Linked DNA regions of Arabidopsis thaliana. The protein of the gene in region 1 interacts with the protein of each later gene in a pairwise test. Each region holds a gene or a part of one and is shown in the gene's direction. Other genes may lie near its edges. The genes, in order: AT4G12950, PDLP6 and PDLP3.

The links.
Region 2: the proteins of AT4G12950 (region 1) and PDLP6 interact in a protein complementation assay, tested with the Arabidopsis thaliana proteins (2 studies listed by BioGRID).
Region 3: the proteins of AT4G12950 (region 1) and PDLP3 interact in a protein complementation assay, tested with the Arabidopsis thaliana proteins (2 studies listed by BioGRID).

The regions. Positions count from the first base shown.
Region 1 is NC_003075.7:7,574,758-7,577,780, forward strand, and holds AT4G12950 (Fasciclin-like arabinogalactan family protein), read left to right. Parts: upstream 1-1,884; coding exon 1,885-2,415; downstream 2,416-3,023.
Region 2 is NC_003071.7:290,071-294,676, reverse strand, and holds PDLP6 (plasmodesmata-located protein 6), read left to right. Parts: upstream 1-1,988; 5' UTR 1,989-2,180; coding exon 2,181-2,904; coding exon of another isoform or gene 2,905-2,960; exon of another isoform or gene 2,961-3,389; coding exon 3,390-3,521; coding exon of another isoform or gene 3,522-3,529; exon of another isoform or gene 3,530-3,693; coding exon 3,694-3,704; 3' UTR 3,705-4,104; downstream 4,105-4,606. UniProt on the Arabidopsis thaliana protein: Modulates cell-to-cell trafficking.
Region 3 is NC_003071.7:14,122,172-14,127,466, reverse strand, and holds PDLP3 (plasmodesmata-located protein 3), read left to right. Parts: upstream 1-1,940; 5' UTR 1,941-2,438; coding exon 2,439-2,865; intron 2,866-3,115; coding exon 3,116-3,487; intron 3,488-3,877; coding exon 3,878-3,985; intron 3,986-4,278; coding exon 4,279-4,286; 3' UTR 4,287-4,661; downstream 4,662-5,295. Other genes in the region: MAC3B (MOS4-associated complex 3B), read left to right, coding at 68-145, 235-319, 421-472, 600-670, 747-883. UniProt on the Arabidopsis thaliana protein: Modulates cell-to-cell trafficking.

The DNA.
Region 1 (3,023 bases):
TCTTTTTTGTTTTGATGAAATGTGAAATTTATTGATGAAAGAATAATGAGATTATGTACAGCTGTAAGATGTATAGTTCATATGTTCTGCACAGGAGCAGAAAACCTATTGAAAAAAACAGAGTATAAGCTTTTAACTAGAAAGTCGTGTTAGCCGTAACAGAATAATTCAAGAAAGAAATACTGAGATAACCGAAACCAAAATACTAAACCGAACAAATAAAAAAACGAACTGAATCCCAACCAAAATTATAAAATATCTTAACCAATTTTTTCAAACCCAACCCGAATGGTGAACCAGATAACTTTTTAGGTTACTGTGTCATTGGGTTCAACCGGATTCGACCATAGATCAATTGATTAAAATTTATTTAATATTTTTAATACTTTTAGAAATTATATAGTATTATAAATATAAAAATAAAAAATAATCATACCATGTTTAACAAAATATGAAGTTTCACAATAAAAATAAAGTGATTAAAATTTTTAAATCCAACAAAAACCATAAAAAAAATACTTAGATAGTATGAGATTATCAACAAAAAAACTAATAAAACATTGCGAAAACAATATAACTAATCACCGTTGTTTCTCTCACCATTCCTAATATTTAATTCCAAAATATCAAAATCAAATGGATTTTGTTAAAACTCAAACCCGACTGATTCAGTGGATAGCATGTTAATGGTGAATTTTTTGTGTTTTTTTTTCTAGTTTTTAAACTGTTGGATGTTAACCCAAACTGGAAGTGTGTACAGGTCACAGGGTCAAACTAGACGGTTCGGGTCTAGCGTGAAAAAAATGGATTATAGAATCTTTAAACGAAACGAACGAAAAGGTAACCGAATGTGTACCCGAAATATCCAAAAACAAAAGGAGTATCCGAAACAATTCAAGAAGGTGTTTAAGACCTTAGTTCTGTTTAATTATGTCCTAATTATGTTATTTGGTTTGGAGAGCATTCTAGTACACGCTATCCTCTGTTTACGTACTTAGCTTTTACATGTTAATCTATACACCAATCAAGGCAGTCTCAGGATAAACAATCATTATCCTAAATAATTACGTATAGACTTTGCTTTGTTTTTTAGTTCGGTTAATATTTGTTTTTAAAATCGTTATAGTTAATTATGTAATATGTTTTAGGTGTTTTAAAGCAAAACAATTTCTTTTAAAACCCATAATTGGCTTTCATTATATTTTTCAGTCACAGTCTACTTTATTAAAGTAAAGTTTCTTCTAGTTAAGTTTATCTCTAATTAAAAGGTTAAGGGTAAAGGTTCTTTTAAACCAATGCTAAATCGTTTGGTGATTCTTAATATTATTATTTCTATTTAATAAATATTTTGTGCAGTTGAGTGAAACAAATTTTGTCATAAGGCATCGGTACCTGCTTTTTTCAAGAAAATGGGATGCTTTGACTAGTATGATATATAATTGTGTTTTATATATCAATCATGTTATATTTACTCTTGGTTAAGATTATTTTTTATTGTTAATGATATCATTGATACAATGATACTTAAGAAAAACTAAAAATGTTCCAAATGTATTCTATAACCAATTATCATTTGAGCTACATTGTTCTCTATCTAATCAAATCAAAATCATAATATTAAGCTATTATGGTATATAGGAAATATTTGAACTCAATCCTTTTTTTTTGTGCGGTTCAAGCTTCTAAAGAGGTCTCAAAATTTGTGTGCAGTCTTTCTTCACACTTTCACTCACCTTTTGTTCCTACACATAATTCTCTTTGCTTTTAATTATATAATACTAACTTGATACAACTAGCCATATCACAATTTCCTAACTCCCAAGAACAAAAGAAAACTCCTTTCTTCCATTCTTGGACTTTTCTCTCACTTTTGGTCTCTTGGATATGAATCTCCTACTATTTTTTCTTCTCTCCACCGTTTCAGTTTTCGCCGTTGTCTCTGGCACGGTGGAGGAGACGGCCCGTGATGTTATTGATGCATTGGCTCATGCCCCTTTTGAAGAATGGTCATCGGTTTTCATAGAAACCAATGACCGGATCCGCGCCGAGGTTATCCCATCTACCCTCTTCATCCCAAACTCTTCCGCCAACGGGAGCGATGATAGACATAAGTTGGCTTCATACCACATTGTTCCTCAGAGGCTTGAGTTTGCAGATCTTCTCTTGAAGCCAAGTAGATCGAGACTACCGACTCTTCTCAACGGCTCCTCCATTCTGGTAACCAACAATTCTGCTACTTCTTTTTCTATCGACGGCGTTCTCATCATCGAACTTGACATCTACGTGGATTCCTTCATAGCCATCCATCGTATTGCATATCCGCTTGATTACACAACTTACGGCGGCGGCTCTAAGCTTATATCGAAATGGCCGCTCTTCACCTTTATGCTTGTTACGGTTGTGTGGTTCATTTAATCATAGTGATATGAATAGATTGTGCTCATTTCACCTTATGATATATATATGAAAAGACTGAAGTCCCTAATCTATAATATGAAAGTCTTTTAAATGAACACTTAAACCTTTTTTTCTTGTACTCATGACTTGGTCATTTTTAGTAACGTACAACTTTTTATTTTTGTTTTTTAAACACGTAGACTGCATACATTGAGAGGTTTAACGATGAACATATATGCTCTCTTGTTTTTTACTCATTAAAATGCCGACTTCTCTATACACACAACACACGGAGATAGATACTTCTCATCATTTGAGTCATTATCAATATAAATAACTGAGACATCTTTCCAAAATTTACCACGACAATGAGAGGTTATCAACATATATATATATATATATATATATGAAAAGTAATATTCAAAAAAAGTAATAGATGAATCATGAATGGTCAACTAGATTTTGAGTCATTATTAATAGACGAAGAGATCTCTACAAAAAAAAACATTTACCATTCTATAATCACTAAACAAAATACCAGCTGAAATACAACAAATCTTATCGAAGACCACTACTAATCAATCTTACATATTCTATATTGTTAAATACTTTAACTATCTATTTCA
Region 2 (4,606 bases), on another chromosome or scaffold:
AAGAAAAATAGACATGAAAAACAAACTACTCCAATCTTTTTGTTTAGCCAATAAAGAGATTAATTAAGCTAATATCTTACTAAAAAAGAGTTTATATATTATTAATTTTATAACTTAGAAAATTTCTAATCTATTATGCAAAAAGTTATTTCTAATTAATAAGATTGATTCTACTAATTTTGATAATAGATATTTGATTCAAATATAATGAAAAATAAAAATGACCTCTAGCAATTTTTAAATTTTTGGTAACAAAATACTAACAATTTTCTTTTCTGGCATAGTTTAAATTAACTTTAGATAGTTTGAAATAATCTTAAGGATCAAAAGATAATAGTTACAATCTATGAAAAAATTGTTCTTGCAATGTAACAAAGATCACCTAAATCAAAAATGCCCTCGAGTTGTCCATAGATGTGTGTAAAATTAACTTAACAAAACTAATCAGTGCATGATTATATTTTTTTTAGTCGGCCAATTTATCCATTAGATAATGAAAGTGTGTACAGAAATACATTTAACAGACCCAAGAGACTATAACTCCAATTGGTAACATTACATAATAGCATAATAATATAAATTGCCAAATAAAAATTTGTAAAATGAAAAATTGTAGAATAAAATTATTTTTAAAATATGTTGATTGCATAAATTTTGTAGAATAATACTGCTTTTGTTGAGCCTCTCTTGCTAATGTATTTGCCATTACATTTGGTTCTCTACGACTATATATATTATAGTAACGGTTCTTGGCCAAAGCTAAGATATTATTTAGGCAGTCCTGAATTTCCCAATTTCCCGGTGTAGGATGATGACATGATGTGCGCATATACCAACTACTTTTAACAAAAATAAAATTACACTAGGTGAATACTCACACTACGTATAGGTTGTTATTTTAAAAATTATTTAAAAATAATTATGTTTAACTATTTTGATTGCTAATTTATGTTTTTTCCGTATATGTTATTATGTAGTTAATAAAGTTATATTTATTTTATGTAATTATATTTGTAGAGTTAGATTCACTTTTGATTCACATATCAATTATATTTTTTATGTATAAATCTTTTTATCTCTATACCCAAAATTCTAATCTTTTTTTAACTATCATGAATTACTTACATCAACAATATATGATACAATGGTATGCAATTATGTTACTTATTTAGTTTGAAAGTTGTCTAATTTGATTCTAAGCAAACAATTTATTGTTTCATGTATTCTCTCTTAATCTAATATCCCAATCACATCATGATAAACTCATGGCTAAGTATTAGATTGACATAAAATAAATAACATATGTATAACTAACTACTCATTTGCATTAAAAGTTTTCACGTGAAAGAAAAAAAAGAAAGCAAAAATTAAACAGTCTTTTAAGTTAATACTTTTAGGTTTCTCTCTTTACATTTGCATTTAGCTATATTGGAGAGAATGTCGTATATTAAATTTTTTGGTATATCTAACGTCTCAAAAGACCATTACTTTAAAAAACATGCATGTTATTATTAATGTTACTAATTTATCATAAAGTACAAAAAGACCATGATAATATCATGTAGACCAAAAAATGTAATAATAAGAAAAATTAAGTTAAAATTACTAAATTAAAAAAGGTTAAGTACCAGGTAAGTTGCAATACCCAAAAGTTTCTAACCATTATCAAATACTGACTATTAAAAAAAATAGCAAAATAAGAAAAGTAAAATGAAAATAGTATTTGATATATTAACATAATTTTTTATATTTTTTTCTTTTAAGTGAAGATATTTTGTTAAAAATAAGATTAATGAATGATTCAATGCAATGTTAAACTTTTAAATTTTATCACCAAGTTTTATTATTTTTCTAATAATATTAATTTAGGATAACATGTGACACTCATTAGTGTGATGATGTGTCACTCATATGAAGAAAGTTAGCCAACTTTCATATATATGATTACCAAATAAATAATTTTGACATATAGTATATCGATTACCAAACCATATAACTGATAAACAGATGATAAAAATACAATATAATCAAAGTGTTTCATAATCATATAGTAACGCACCAATCATTAAAAAAAAAAAAAAGTTAAACACCAAGCATAAAAAAAAGTCGCGACGTTCTCATTCTTTCTCGAATCATACCACAGAGAGAGAGAGAACAAAAAGAAGCAATCGTCGAAAGTCATGTTCGCTACAAAAACAGTTCTCTTTATCGCCGTCGTGTCACTTCTCGGAACGTTTTCATCCGCCGCTGTCGATACTTTTATCTACGGTGGTTGCTCACAAGAAAAGTACTTTCCGGGATCGCCTTACGAGTCAAACGTTAACTCTCTACTCACCTCGTTCGTTAGCTCAGCTTCTCTCTACACATACAACAACTTCACCACCAACGGAATCTCCGGCGACAGTTCCTCCGTCTACGGTTTGTACCAGTGTCGCGGTGATCTCTCCTCCGGCTCGGGAGATTGTGCAAGATGCGTCGCGCGAGCAGTAAGCCGTCTAGGGAGTCTCTGCGCCATGGCAAGCGGTGGCGCGTTGCAGCTCGAAGGCTGTTTCGTTAAATACGACAACACGACGTTCCTCGGTGTTGAGGATAAGACGGTGGTGGTTCGACGTTGTGGACCACCGGTTGGTTATAACTCGGACGAGATGACTCGTAGAGACTCGGTGGTGGGTTCTTTAGCGGCGAGTAGCGGTGGTTCATACAGAGTAGGAGTGTCGGGGGAACTGCAAGGTGTGGCGCAGTGCACCGGAGATCTTAGTGCGACTGAGTGTCAAGACTGTTTGATGGAAGCGATCGGACGGCTGAGAACGGATTGCGGAGGAGCTGCTTGGGGTGACGTGTACTTAGCAAAGTGCTACGCGCGTTACTCTGCGCGTGGAGGTCACTCTAGAGCCAACGGCTATGGTAATGTCTTCTTTGCTCCGTTGCTTTTTATTTCTTTTATAAAGATTTTTATTTGATTTTAAAGTTTTTAATTAAGGGAAAAACCCGAAAAAATCTCCGGCTAATTTTAGTTTGTCTGTTTAATACCTCTATTATTTAATTTTCTCAAAAAATATCTAAATTAATTTTTATATCTTTTTAAAACTTTCGTTTTATTAAATTTTGTTAAAATTAGATATTCAAATTAACAGCCGTTAACAGTGGTAACTGAATCAATAACTGCAGTAAAAACTTAACTGTACAGTATTTACTATTTATATATATTTTATTATCGAATAGTTACGAACGTATTGTCTTAGTCATGTGGTTATGTGAGATTTTTATTTTCAAGATTTATTTTTTTCGTTTATTTTCTCCATCTTCTTTGCATAGAATTTACAATTTATGCATATAATATTTTTGATAATTGTATTGTTAAAAATGTGTTATTTTTGGGATGTAATTAGGTGGGAATCGTAATAACAATGATGACGATGAGATAGAGAAAACACTTGCAATCATAGTTGGCTTAATTGCTGGAGTTACGTTACTCGTCGTATTTCTCTCTTTTATGGCAAAATCGTGCGAGAGAGGTAAAGGTAAATGAAATGACCCATCCCTAATTAATCGAACATTATCATCAAATATTGTTATGATTAACGGATCAATATGTAATTAATGGAGCCCAAAGATAAGGCACTATGATCCGACTTTTTTTGTTGTTGTTGTTGTTTATATCATCTATTAATGTTTTTGTTTTTAATATATCAGGTGGGAAGTAAATAACGTTATGGGACTTTTGACTTGTATCATCAATTTATGGTTTTAAAAAAGAATCAAATGCGTAAAGGAGAAAGAAAAGCGAAGAGATTCTTCATATTCTCCACTAAAATCCTAAAGGATGTTTCTTTTTTGACCCACTTTAATTGAAGTTTTACTATTTTTCAAATGTATAGAAAACTCACGCCGTTTAGATTTGTGATCGTATCTTTACGTAAGAACATTTAAAAGTGGCGCATATGCAATTTATCTTTGATATGTATTTCTAATTATCATAATCACTTAACGTTGTAGTTTAAAGGAATTATTGTTGATTTTGTGTTACTGTTTGTGACAAAACAATGTATATATATGTTCTATGAATTTAAAGCCAAAGTTAGCTATACATTTTCTTATTTCCAGTATATAAATAGAATTTTGTTCTTTCTAAACTATTACTACCTTCAATTTCTCTCTTAGATTTTTCATTTGCAAAACGCATCGGTGTATCATTTCTACTATATATCAATCAAAGAAGTCTATTCATGTTGTATAACTAAGTTTTGAAATCCCTTTTCTAAATTCATATAATCTTAACTCGTTACAACGAATTCTCGCATCCACGATGATTTAAAGTAAAATAATGTCAAATGGTAGGTATATATTTGATTGAATTAGATACTAATATATCATACTAAAGATATGAATACGTCTTTAGTAAGTAGAACTTTATAAAGTGTTCAAATTTATATCATTATGTTTCATACAAAAGTAAGGGGGGATACAAGCATAATTGCCTAATTGGTGGAACAATCGGCTTACGTGACACAATTCTCTATCATCAATTATTCGCCTTATGTTCTATATTAGATTTGCCCAAAAAAATAAAACTTGTTCTCAAGTAGATTAAAATTTGTTTGAAATG
Region 3 (5,295 bases), on another chromosome or scaffold:
CCTATTAAAATTATTAATTGTGTACAGTGTTCTTCATTATAGTTTTCATTTTTTTGGTTGATAATAGGCAAATGTGGCTAAGTTTGATGGACACACTGGGGAAGTTACAGCTATATCTTTCTCTGAAAATGGTTACTTCCTCGCGGTGAGTACTTTGAACAAAATACGAGAAGAGAGAATACAGCTTAAGTTATGCTTACATGAATGATTTTCTTTTTGTCCTGGAATTGACAGACAGCTGCAGAGGATGGTGTTAGGTTGTGGGATCTGCGCAAGTTAAGGAACTTCAAATCATTTTTATCTGCAGATGCGAACTCTGGTACACAACTATCGTATCTGTTTCTACTCATTTTGTTGATAGAGAACTTTCTATGTATTATAAGCTCGCTTTGATTAAACCTACTTTTTTTTTGTGTGCAGTGGAGTTTGATCCTAGCGGATCTTATCTCGGTATTGCTGCATCAGATATCAAGTGAGTACACATTTGAAAATAGTGATCAAAACATCCAAAGCTCAGCTAAAGAAAATATCCAAAGAGACCAAGCTAGCTTGATTAATCTGCACGTTGGGTTAACACAATTTATGTGTTTTGGCTGCAGAGTATACCAGACGGCAAGTGTGAAAGCTGAATGGAACCTTATCAAGACACTCCCAGATCTCTCCGGCACTGGTAAAGTCCCTTACCTAACTCCTTCAATGATCACATAGCGATAATGTTGCTAATTTCGAAGCCCTTACACTTGCAGGTAAAGCTACGTGTGTGAAGTTTGGTTCAGATGCACAGTACGTTGCAGTCGGTTCGATGGACCGTAACCTACGGATATTTGGTCTTCCTGGTGATGAAAAAGCCAACGTCGATGATGACTCTGCGCAAGACTCGTGAACAATCCGTAAAAAACTCAGACAGAACATTCCAAATGTCCATCTCCAGTGTTATCTCGCTCAAATTTCTCAAGTTCTGTTGTATCTTACAGTATTTGCAGCAATGGGGGAGAATTTCATAGGTGCGGGTCATGAGTGAGTGGTGATTGTGATCATCCTCGCTACCTCTTGGAATTCAAACAATGACACTCACAAACCCTCGAGTTTTCTTATAGGCTCTTTTAATCGCTTTGTACCTTCAATATATGTACCAAAAAATGTGTTCTTTCTGTTGCCAAATGAATTCAGACACTAATGAAGATCCCAAACCGATGGTGCTAAACCGCATTTGGTATTATTTAATCTGTTCTAGACAGTGGTGGTCTGCTTAGTATTCCGTATTCCAACAAATGATTTCAGCTGGTCTCTGAGAACAAAATTTTAACTAAATGTTAAAGAATACCCTTGACTGTACTTGGTCAAAAATCACTGGGCACAATATTTACATTTATCCACGAATATCAGATTCGTGATTCCTTTTGCAATTCCAGGATTAGTTTAACTTCACGCAAAAGATAATGTTTTGTAATACCCTTTCTTTATTGTGACCAGGATTGACAATTCGTGTTAAGGTATAACCACGTGTTTCCTCACAATTCTAAAGAATGCTTATGTTTCTCCCTGTCTATATTATTTTTTTAATTTTGTCTGAAAATACTAAAATAACTTGAACAAATCATCGTATAAAAACTACAAAATACATAAACTAAGCTTAAAGAAATACCTACACGATGAACTTTTTATATAGTAATTAGTAACAACTACAAAATACATAACCTTACTAGCTACTGGGAAAAAAATTGTCCAGTTTTAGATGATCAGAGTAAATATAATACTAATTGTCTTCCATTTTAATTATTGTCGAAAACGTGTTTTCATAAAGTAACTATTATTGGGTTTCATTACTAAATTCTAAACATCAAATGGAATTGAAACCAAAAGAGTAGTTATTCTAATTTTAAAAAGTTAGGTGTTGAATAAACAGTTTAAGTGAAATCTAATAATCAAAGACTGCAATACACACACCAAGCTCACTGTACTGTCTTTAGACTGGTCAGTGGTGGCTGAAGAAAGAAAAGAGTGTTTGATTGTTATATTAAAAAATAAAGAAAACAAATTACGCTCCCTTCTCTACAGACTCTCTCTATCCTAATCCTATTTCTTTTTCCACATCTCCTAAAGAAAGAGAAAAGAGTGGTCATCCATCCATCCACAGCCTCTTACAAAATCTCTCTCTTTCACCATTAACACCAAATTCAGAAAACTCAGAAGAAGCAAAATAAAGAGCTTTTACTGATCCACCAAACACAGAATTTCATAAACTCCCAAAAAAGTTAAATTCCAAACAAGCCCCACAACAACAACAACAACAAAAAAGATTTTAATCTTTCTCATTTACCCATATCCTCAAAATTCCCACAAAAATCTTTCCTCCAATAACATAACAAAACAACTCTTCTTCTACAACAAACTATGTTCTGATTTTTTAGTTTCTTCTTCCACACAATACAAAAGAAATGGGGTTTTATTCACTGAAGCAGCTTTTGTTACTTTACATCATCATCATGGCTCTGTTCTCAGATCTCAAGCTAGCAAAATCTTCTTCACCAGAGTACACGAACCTAATCTACAAAGGTTGTGCAAGACAGAGATTATCAGATCCATCTGGTTTATACTCACAAGCTCTCTCTGCAATGTATGGCTTATTGGTTACTCAATCAACGAAAACAAGATTCTACAAAACCACAACTGGAACAACAAGCCAAACAAGCGTCACTGGTCTTTTCCAGTGTAGAGGAGATTTAAGTAACAACGACTGTTACAACTGTGTTAGTCGTCTTCCTGTTCTCTCTGGTAAGCTCTGTGGCAAAACCATTGCTGCTAGAGTTCAGCTCTCCGGCTGTTATCTTCTCTATGAAATCTCTGGCTTTGCCCAAATTTCAGGTATTACTCTCCATTATTTGGTTTAATCTCAATTTCTTCGAAATTTTTTGTTTCTTGAACCGGAATTCGAGTTTCTGTGTGAACTTCAAGAACCCGGTTAAGAATCAGGTTTTGGTTTTAGATATAGGTTTAACCAAAGTTAGGATTCGACTAAACCAGAGAAACTTTTAACTATCGACCTAATTTCGGTTTTAACCATAAACCGAACCGAGATTGACTAATTTTAACTCCGGTTTAAAAATTTCTTTAGGAATGGAGTTGTTATTCAAGACATGTGGGAAGAACAACGTCGCCGGGACAGGATTCGAACAGAGAAGAGACACAGCTTTCGGGGTGATGCAAAACGGCGTCGTTCAAGGTCACGGCTTCTACGCAACGACATACGAATCGGTTTACGTTTTAGGACAATGCGAAGGCGATATAGGCGATTCAGATTGTAGCGGTTGCATAAAAAACGCGTTACAGAGAGCTCAAGTCGAATGTGGAAGCTCAATATCTGGTCAGATATATCTTCATAAGTGTTTTGTCGGTTATAGTTTCTACCCAAATGGTGTTCCCAAGAGATCTTCTCCTTATCCTAGCTCTGGCTCTTCGGGTTCTTCTTCTTCTTCATCTTCTTCAGGTGAAAATTTCTATTTCTTTTTATTTGTTTATTATTTTGGTGGAAAATTTCAATACCAACGTTCTAATATTTGCTGGAAAATCTTGAAAAGGTGTTCATTAAAAAGAAAATGATTCGATGTTGAAGTTAATAATTAATTTATTTGACTATCTTCACTTTAATTCAAAAGGTTTTCAGTGTGAAACTTGTTCTTTTGTTTTCAGGCTCCAATTGTGATTTTTGTTTCTTTTCATTTTGATGAATAAATATTGTTTTTTTCTTTTCAACATTATAGTTTGCTACGGTTTCGTAACAATTAATTCTTTAGAAAAGAGAGCGTAAAGTTTAGGAAATGTATTTTTAGGTATATTTTATTAGGATGATGAAATGGTTTTTGATGGAAAAAAACAGGAACAACAGGCAAAACGGTGGCAATAATAGTAGGAGGAACAGCTGGTGTTGGATTTCTTGTCATTTGCTTACTTTTCGTCAAAAACTTGATGAAGAAGAAATATGACGGTAATTACTTCCTCTCCACTTATATATACATACACGTAGACAACATTCATGCACGTATCACGTCTATAAGCATACATGCATATGTAACGTAATTCATACGAGTTGTCATTTTTGTATTGCCAAAATAATAGATTACTCAGTGTTTTTTATTAGAGATATTAATTATCCTTCTAATTTGAGCATATTGAAAATTAAGTGTGGAAGAGCTTGCATATAATAGACATACACATGCATATGTTGAGAAGAAGAATAAAGGCAAAAAAAATTGATTACTTATGTTTTTTTTTTGGCAGATTATTGAAAATAATTAGGATGAAGACAACAAAATGAGTCCCAACCCCGAAATGGAGGCAAGCGTTAATGTGAATTCCGAGGTGCATGCAATTAATTGTGTCCCGATTTTTATATTTTTCGAATTGTTAGTTTATTGAATACAGTATTTTTGAGAGGTGGAAATTGTGGTGGGATGGATGAAGAAGAGCTGGGACCATTTTAAAATGTTAGAAGATGGAGAAAGTACTTTCAATTTATTTTTAAAAATGTAAATGAATTATCTCATTTGAAGTTCCTTAAGTACTTATACTTGTCTTAATTTCATACCTTTTACAAGTTCCGTGAAGTCATTCTATTGGATGTTATGCTATAGTTTAACAATGGGTAACTCTTAAACAGAAATGAATTTATACTATGCTGTAGCATTTTACATTATTCTGTTCTGATAACGTTATACATTTTTGTTTTCGTATGTTTTAAATGATATTTTGTTTTTTCTAGACTGTTGAGTTGCTTTTTGAGTTTCTGTCGAGTTGTTTTTTTCTGCCAACTTGTTTTTGGTACTTTTTCTATCAAAATCTCGTTTGATAAGTAACTTTATTGGTATAACCTGGCAATTTTTATTTGTTTCTTGTAAAATGAGTAGGATTCCACCGCGTTTTGTATTATTGTGGGCAATTTGCATTATTTAAATGTTTTTTTTCGGCATTACTTAAATCTTATTTGTTCAGAAAATAATCGTGTGCATAATTTATATATTTGGAAATACGAAAGTCGAGTTATGTACTTCTCAATGTGTTGTTGTTTATGTATCTCGAGTGAAAGAAACTATGGTTAATTTTTTATACAACACTCATGCGATTTCATGGAGAAGTGTGATGCTTTTTATGATTTTGGGAATAGGGAACTTGATTGATACCTTTTGGGATCAAACATCAATACTCTCCGCACAAGTTTTGATGAATCTTGTAGTAATTGTTTTGGCATTTAATTGCATGATATGAGATGTGGTGCATAGGGTGGTCCATTTTTGTTAC